Linked DNA regions of Caenorhabditis elegans. The protein of the gene in region 1 purifies or fractionates together with the protein of each later gene. This does not show direct contact. Each region holds a gene or a part of one and is shown on either strand. Other genes may lie near its edges.

What was found. Proteins that work in one complex are often made in the same cells at the same time.
Region 2: the proteins of cpi-1 (region 1) and Y54F10AR.1 fractionate together in Caenorhabditis elegans (co-fractionation; one large-scale study listed by BioGRID). This does not show direct contact.

What each region holds. Positions count from the first base shown.
Region 1 is NC_003282.8:6,092,092-6,095,361, forward strand, and holds cpi-1 (Cystatin cpi-1), read right to left. Parts: upstream 1,542-3,270; 5' UTR 1,527-1,541; coding exon 1,425-1,526; intron 1,133-1,424; exon of another isoform or gene 1,111-1,132; intron 978-1,110; coding exon 906-977; intron 831-905; coding exon 585-830; 3' UTR 512-584; downstream 1-511. Other genes in the region: K08B4.7 (Cystatin), read right to left, coding at 156-257. UniProt on the Caenorhabditis elegans protein: Cysteine protease inhibitor which inhibits members of the peptidase C1 family. Does not inhibit asparaginyl endopeptidase. May play a protective role against exogenous cysteine proteases derived from soil bacteria or fungi, or rotting fruits and vegetation.
Region 2 is NC_003281.10:2,571,635-2,577,256, reverse strand, and holds Y54F10AR.1 (Phosphatidylinositol transfer protein N-terminal domain-containing protein), read left to right. Parts: upstream 1-1,571; coding exon 1,572-1,588; intron 1,589-2,000; coding exon 2,001-2,195; intron 2,196-2,253; coding exon 2,254-2,571; intron 2,572-2,629; coding exon 2,630-2,750; intron 2,751-3,869; coding exon 3,870-4,031; 3' UTR 4,032-5,099; downstream 5,100-5,622.

The sequences.
Region 1 (3,270 bases):
TTCGACTACTGTTTCAATCTACTTATATTATTGGAAAGAACGTAGCGCGAGTGATAGTTTCGCTTTTAAATTAAGAAACTCAAATTATTCCAATTTCTGAGCTTTAAAAGTTTCCAACGCACAATTTTAAAATGCACTACAAAAAGAAAACTTACGGTATACTCGGAAGCGTTCAGATTAGAAAATCCACCAAGAACTTGACAATTCATTCCATCAAGAACAGCAAAAAGAAGTGCGATAGAAAGAATAAAACGCATTTTTGTCTCAAAGTATATCAACATTCGTTTGCTTTTATAGGAGTGAGAGGGAGTGCGTGATGAACAGGACACAGCAAAAGATCAAGGGTTTGATTCAAAAAAAAATCGATCATCGCAACAGGTATGACTCATTGTCTTCCCATGGACAATTGATTTTCAACGGAATATAATGATATAATTTCAAAAAATATTTTCTTCAGATGTATATTAGGGTTTTAGCTGGAAAGAAAAGTACGTAACGCAGCAACTATTTTCAAAAACCAAAGTTCTTTATTAGCAATTTTTTAAAATAGTACAGAAAGCAAGAATACATTCACCAGATTTAATTTAAATTTTTTCATCAGGTTTCACACCTCTGATTTTTTCAGCCTTAGTTTGCTTGAAGTTTTCCCATGGTTTCTCCCAAATGGACACTTTGTAAAGTTCACGCTTGCCACCAGACTTCAATGGACAATTTGCAGCAGTGACTTGAGAAGCTTGAACTGATCCTTGTCTCGGACAAGTTGACTCTCCAACAAGAACTTCCAAAACTGTATTGGTTCCGGCAACAACTTGAACTTGAGCTTTAACAACCTAAATAAGAGTGTTATAAAAGCGCAAAGTATTATTTTTTGAACAGCATTTTTTGCCTCTGAGGAGTAAACCTACCTTAATTGGAACCATGTAGTTTTGTCCATTATTCTTACTGTTTATTTCCGGCACCGAATTCCAAGCTGCTCCCTGAAAACTCATAACTAAAAGTGCATATATATTTTAAATTGAAAATTACGGTAACCAAAATCTTTTTTCGAAATATGAATTTTTTCACTGTTTCACAGTTTACATTTGTGCACAAAATTTTTAAATGATACTGTTCAACCAGTAGACATTTATTAAAATTTTGCGCGAAGTGCCAATTAGTTTTGAATAGCAGTTTTGAAATTAAAACTCTTAATTTTAATTTGTTTTATAAGCATTTTGAGTCGTAATTGAATTTTTCAAAGCGCTAAATTTTTATTCCAGTTTTTTTTGTTTAAAAAAATGAATTTATCGAATATTGAAAGAAATTAAAATTATAGTAAACCGGACTAAGTATCCTAAGAGTAAGTATCAACTATAGTTTTAAAAAATATAAGAAATCTTCACAAAATGAGCATTTTCTCAACAAAAAGCCTAAGTAAAACTTACAGTATACTCAGAGGCATTCACATCAGACAATCCACCAGCAATTTGGCAATTTATTCCGTCAAGAACAGCGAAAACAAGTGCGATAAGAAGAATGAAACGCATTTTTATTTTTGTCACAAAATATGTCAACATTCGTTTGCTTTTATAAGAGTCAGTTGGTGAGTGATAAGAGCGAGACAGCTAAAGATCAACAATTTGATTGAAAAAAGAGAAAGAATCGATCATTGCAACAGCTATGACTCATTATCTTCCTTTGGAAAGTTTGTTTACAACTGAATATGATGATATCATTTCATAAATTATTTTCGACTTTTGCATGTTCTGTTTTTCTGGAAAAAAGTGCCGCTTCAGGAATTCTTGCAGAGTTTTTTTGCACCTGAAAGCAATGATAGAAATTCCAGAGCTTCTGAAAATGAAGTAACAAGGCATGAGTTCAAAACTACGTTTTAGTTCAAAAAATATTTACAAAATTTTGTATAAATAATTTACTGTTTCACATTCAAGTTAAGTGAACTTGTTTTAAATGAAGGGCTGTTCCAATCTTTCAGAACTGAAGAACTTTATTTTTAGAAAAGCGAATTTTACCTTCACATGATTTTATAAAGCCACACGATGTTTTCCGTGTGGATCTTGCCACGATCTTAGTCAACACATAATAATCATTTACTATATATAAAGCGCGTGTCCTTCTGTCCCTATGTAGTTTGATCTCTGATCAGAGCGACGAAATTTTGGGAAACCTTATGCTAAATGCGCAGCAGACATCGATCGAGGTCCGCGATAGACACCGTATATCTAATGTGTTTTCTCAAAAAAGTCGGGGGCCGCGCCGTAGGTGCGGTCCACGGCTGGTAATTAATAATTTATTACGCTCTCTGGGAGACGTGAAAGAATACAATAGTTATCAAGGTTTGCGTGATTGGGGCAGCCGGGCAGTCGTTTCCATTCCATTAAAATGTTGTCTGTCGGCCACCCGGGTCAAAAACATCCCGCATTGGTTAATTAGCTACGGAAGTTTAATATCATGAAGTTTCATATCGTCAAAGAAAGACAGAATTCACAGTCATTGTTAAAACACCATAGTTTCCTCAAAGCGATCGTACCGTATTACGGGAACAAGAAATCATGAGAACGCGTACTTGGTGCTTTTATTTGACCCGGGATATCTCTTAGCGAAAACTACAGTAAGAACTCAAATAACAATAAATATTTAAGCTCTTACTGTAGTTTTCGCTAAGAGATATCGCGCGTCAAATAAAATGCACCAAGTACGCATTATCATGCTTTATTGTTCCCGTAATATACATATCTTAATCACTTACAGTACAATCGCGGCGAGATTTAAAAGTAAAGACTAAAATCAAAAGTTCTACCGAAACTGTATCAAAATAACAGCATGTGATCGGAAAAAAGTATTGTTTTAATAAAACATGCGCTTTGTATGTGACTTTTTTCAATTAGCAAGAAAAGATAATGAAATAAAAATCAACAATACCTTACGAATTAGGCTGCATTTTGGGTCGGAGAGATTTTGTGTAAATTTACGGCGCGTTGCGTGTGGCTTCGCGGCTCGTTTTTAGTTACAACTAGTTGTAAAACTGATGTATTTGTCCGTGTGGAGTACACACACAACTCATCTCCACGCGTAGAAAAATCGGATGTTCAAACGAAAGTTCGTTTGAACATCCGATTTTTCACAATAATTACCGAAAACTACGGTCGACAATGAGAAAATTCAAAATGTACGCAAACACCGCCACGTTAAAATGCACAAAATTTTCAAATTGAAAAATATTTTAAATTTTACTTCTCGATTTTCAACGATTTCTCTTCGTTTCCACTGTTA
Region 2 (5,622 bases), on another chromosome or scaffold:
TCCGTCACTTGTTTTTCCAACCCATTTCGCTCCTCTCCATAGTCGTTACTTTTTACTTTATATAGCCTCTCTCTCTCAACTTGACAGCGCACACGCTACTCCACAAACATGACATATTTAGTTTCTGCTCCAGCTCTTTTTTCTCCTCCGTTTTCCCCCCGTCCCGGGTGTTATCGATTTTTCGCCGCGCCGCCCTCTTTTTTTTGGGGAAGGCCATTTTTAATACTATTTTCCATCTTTTTTCCGTCTTCCTTCTTCCAAAAACGTTAAAAGAAAGGAAAAAAAAACGAATATTTCTTCCTCTTTTTCTTCCAAGAAAGGCTCGAACCCTGCTGTTAATCGAGAAGAGAGTATACGAAGTCACCGAGAGGAATGCTTGCGCATTTCGCGTGCCTAGTGAGTCGGCAAGTGAGACAGAAACACAGAAAGCATTCGATTTTCTCCTCGTTGCTGCGCTTATTGCTTCATCTATTTCGTCTGTCTTTTTTTTTTCTTTTTTCCGCTTTGTTTTTATGTTTTTTGCGGGTGTATGGACCTTAACACGTCATTTTTTGCAGTTTTTGCACTGAAAATTGGTCGGAAAATCGTTAAAACCTTCTGAAAACTCATTTTAAATTCAATAAAATTAAATATTCATCACACTTTTGTAGATCGTCGCGAGACCCGAGCCAATTCAAAGACCATGCACCTTTAAAAACCATTTCAAGATTTTTCGTGTATTATGCTCGCTTTTCTCTCGGAATTCCAATCGGAAATTAAAAATAATCTTAATTTTCACTTCGAAATCAAGTTTTCAATATTAAATCGTTAGAATTTCATTTAAAACCACCTAGAAATAGCTTAAATTTGTTTAAAAGTTTAAAAACTTGAAAATTAATTACAATTTCTGTAGATCGCTGCGAGACCCGAGTCTCTTCAAACTATATGCGCCTTCGATTACTGCCCTTCTCAAATTCGTTTTTTTCGCTTTTCCCACGGAAAATTGAGTGATTTTTCCATTTTTCCCTCAAGAAATTTCAAAATGAGAAAAATTTCGCAACACCTCTCTCTCTCTCTCTATTCATGATGACTAATAATTCTACGATTTCGCATTGTTTGGGAGAATTTTGTATTTTTCATGAGAGACGCCGTTAAAATTTCCAATTCCGATTTAATATTGTCATTTTCTATTTAAAAACGTTAGAAAATATATTAAATATTGGTAAAATCAACTTAATTTTACTAAAAAACTTTAAAAAATTCAAAAATTTATCAAACTTTTGTAGTTCGCTGCGAGACCCATCGGCAATTGGAACTCCGTGCGCCTTTAACTTTTCGATCAATTTTTTATTTTTAAATCCAAAAATTTTCAATTTCCCGCTAAAAATCGTTAAAATCTTTGTGAATTTCCTTCAAATTACGAAATTTCGCAATAATTTTCTTCTTTTTCTCGAATACCTTCCAAAATGCAAAAATAAAATCGATTTTCGCATGCTCTCCACCCATTAATCTTCCGTAAAGCTGTTTCCATGGCAACTAGCATAAAAAATTTAGTTTTCAGGTGGTTTCCTCCTCATTCGACACTCGCAAGAATGATTATCAAGGAGTAGTAAGTGATTTTTTTATTTTTAACGAAAATTTTGATTTTTCCTGGAAAAAATCGGTTTTTTTCCAGATTTTCCAACAAAAAAAAATCGGATTTCTCCATTCTTTTCCCAAAAAAATCGGATTTTTTCAAGATTTTTCCCGGAAGAATCGGATTTTTTCCAGATTTTTTCAAAAAAATCGTATTTTTCCAGATTTTTCCATTAAAATCGGATTTGTTCCAGATTTTTCCATTAAAATCGGATTTGTTCCAGATTTTTCCATTAAAATCGGATTTGTTCCAGATTTTTTCCATTCTTTTCCCAAAACAATCGGATTTTTTCCAGATTTTTTCAAAAAAAAAATCGTATTTTTCCAGATTTTCCCAAAAAAATTGGATTTTTTCCAGATTTTCAAAAAAAAAAATTTTTTTTCAGCCGAGTTGTGCTTCCAATGTCCGTCGAAGAGTACCAAGTAGGCCAGCTCTGGTCTGTGGCCGAGGCCTCAAAAGCCGAAACGGGTGGCGGTGAAGGTGTGGAAGTGCTCAAAAATGAGCCATTTGACAATGTTCCACTGCTCAATGGACAATTCACGAAAGGACAATATACTCATAAGATTTATCATCTTCAATCGTAGGATTTTCTTCTTTAATTCTGCGAAAAAAATTGGAAAAAAAATCAATTTTTTCAGGAAAGTCCCGGCAATTTTGCGAAAAATCGCGCCAAAAGGTTCTCTGGCTATCCACGAAGAAGCATGGAATGCCTATCCGTACTGTAAGACGGTTGTCACGAATCCAGACTATATGAAAGAGAATTTCTATGTGAAAATTGAGACAATCCACTTGCCGGACAACGGAACGACCGAAAATGCGCACGGTTTGAAGGGCGATGAGCTGGCGAAACGAGAAGTTGTCAATATTAATATTGCAAATGATCACGAGTATTTGAATTCCGGAGATTTGCATCCAGACTCCACTCCATCCAAATTTCAGAGCACAAAAACCGGGCGGTACGGGAAAAACCTTGAGATTTTTCAGTTTTTAAATTAAAAAAATCTGAAATTTCAGCGGTCCTTTATCTGGAAATTGGAAGGATAGTGTACAGCCTGTAATGTGTGCCTACAAGCTTGTTACAGTCTATTTCAAGTGGTTTGGATTCCAGAAAATTGTCGAAAACTACGCGCATACGGTGAGATTACGAGAGGATTTCGTGGATCGACAAAATGGGCGAAAATGCTCAAAAAACGAGCTTTTTTTTGTTTGAAATTTGTAGAATAACCCTATGTCGATTTACGCAGATCGTGTACTCCCCGAGGAGAAGAATTTCAAAGTTTAAAACTGAAATTTTCGATTTTCGTGGTTTTTTCATACTCAAATTGACAATTTATAGGGTTCTTAGGTGAAAATCAACAATTTTCACTTAAAATCTGATAAATGTAAATAAAATTAAATAAATAAAATCTGATAAATAAAGTTTTCACCTAAAAACCTAACAAACTGCCAATTTGAATGTGAAAAAACCGCGAAAATTGCCAAAAAGTCAAAAGGAAAACCTAGAAAACCTCTAATTTAAGTGGAAGAGGTTTTACACAGCCATTCTTCAATTTTCGAGCAAAATTTCGAACAATTCCGGAAAAAAACTGAAAACCGAGCTGAAAAAATGGAAAAATTTCGCATAAATGCTCGTGGAAATTTTCAAAAAAGTGGATTTTTACCCGATAAATTAATAAATTTATTTAAAAAATCTCAAAAATTAGCTTGAAATTGGAGAAATTTTCTTTAAAAAACCGCAAAAAAAAAGAAGTTTTCGAAAAATTGCATACGAAAAATGTAGAAATCGAGCTGAAAAATGCACAATTTTCGTAAAAATTTTTTTCCATCTTTTTCGCTGAAAATTTTTATAAATGAAAAATAAAAAAAATAAACCAAAACATTGCTTAATTTAATAAAAATTTCAAAAAGTGCGAAAAAATTGAATTTTAATTTTAAAAAAAGCTGGAAAACTGCGCAATTTTGTATAAAATCCTATAAAGTAAAATTTTCGAAAATGTTTTTTTTTGTTAACCCAGTAATCTACCTGAAAAATGGACATTTTTGTTGAGATTCACGTGAAAATGTTCAAAAATCAGATTTATTTCAGATTTTTCCAAAAAAAAAAATAATTTTTCCATTATTTTCCTTTAAAAAAACGGTTTTTTCGCCAAAAAATCTCGGATTTTTCCATTACTTTCCCAGAAAAATAGGTTTTTTTTTCTAGAAAATTCAGCTTTTTTCCATTTTTTCTCCAAAAAAATCCCAAATTTTTCAGCAATACCCTCGCCTGTTCTCGAAATTCCATCGGGAAGTATTCTGCTGGATCGATAAATGGCACGGCCTTACAATGGTCGATATTCGAGAAATCGAGGCAAAAGCCCAGAAAGAGCTCGAAGAGCAAAGGAAGAGTGGACAAGTTCGTGGAATGAATGGATAAATGGACCACCGGGCCGTGTTTGGGCTCAAATTCTAGTCTTTTTCCGATTTTTTTCATCGCTCTTATTTCTCTAATTCTCTCTCTCTCTCTCTCTCTCTCTCTCGCTTCCTCCCACCCATCCACCTGCCCCATGATGAACTGTGTGATTATTTGAGTAGTGTGAATTTTGGGAATTTTGCTTAAAAATTTCTAAAATTATGTTAAATTTGAAAAAAAAAGAAAAATCACGAAAAATCAAAAACTCTACTTAAAAACCGCTTTTTTTGAATTTCCCGCCAAAATGAGACTTTCGACCAATCAGCGATTCGCTCCACCCACTTTCGGACCAATCATTGGTCCAAAACTGGGCGTAGCGAAGCGCTGATTGGTCGCTGTTTTTTTTGAATTTTTTTATAGCAAAACATTCGGAAATTAAAAAAAAATGGCGAAAAATATAACTTTAAACTCGTAATTTTTGAATTCCCGCCTTCGAACTCCGCCCACCTGTTCTGATTGGTTGAATGATGGGCGGAGCGAATCGCTGATTGGTCGCAGAAAATCTCGTTTTTTTTGGTGATTTTTTGAAAATTTTCAAAGCAAATATTCCGAAATTTTGAAAAAATGCGAAAAATTTATAATTCCCGCCAAAATGTGAACTCCCCGACCAATCAGCGTCTTCGAACTCCGCCCACGCGTTCTGATTGGTTGAATGATGGGCGGAGCGAATCGCTGATTGGTTGACGTATTTTTCACTTTTTTTAAAAAATTTTTTGCCTATTTTTCGATTATTTTAAAGCAAAAGTCCCCATTTTTTCACACTGCTCCCCTTTTAAAAACTATTTTTTTTTTCTTATTTTTTTCGTCCCGGCGCCATTTTTTCACTCACTTTATCCACACACACCAGCTCCCACTCACTAGAATACATAGCTCTTTTTTGTCCTTAAAATCGACACCAGTGTGAAATCAACAACAAAAGTTGCTCACTATTTATTATATAGCTTCTGAAATGAAATGCAAAAAAAATCTCATATCACCCCGCACCCCCAGCTCTTTATTATAGAAAATGATAATTTATACAGTTTTTTTTTGTTTTTTGTGACCCCCCCCCCCCTCTTTTTTAGTAACAAAAAATCTTAAAATCAAAAATTCCAGAGAAGAATAAACGCATGTCTCATTTTATTTTTTGAAAAATTTTAATTTTGAGAAAAAACCAAAAAATCCGGTTTAGGAACCTAAATATTTCGAAAAAAACGACATTCTGGGTCTCGACGCGACGGGAATTTTTGTTAAATGCGAAAAGGTATGCGCCTTTAAAGACTACTGTAGTTTCGAATTTTTCACAGTTTTTCGATTTAAAAAAATTTCTGAAAAATAAAAAAAATCGATAAAATTTGCAATAAAATTCAGCTAATTTTGAAGTTTTTTCTACAATTTTTTTTTGAATTAAAATAAATTTAAAAAAACTTTAAAATGAGCTGAAAAATGCACAACTTTGCACTTTTTGGGTTAAAAATTGCTCAAAAATCGCAGTATTTCATCCATTTTCGAAATTAAAAAAAAAAAATTCGAAAACCCCGAAAAATTGATGAAAATTTGAAACTACAGTACTCTT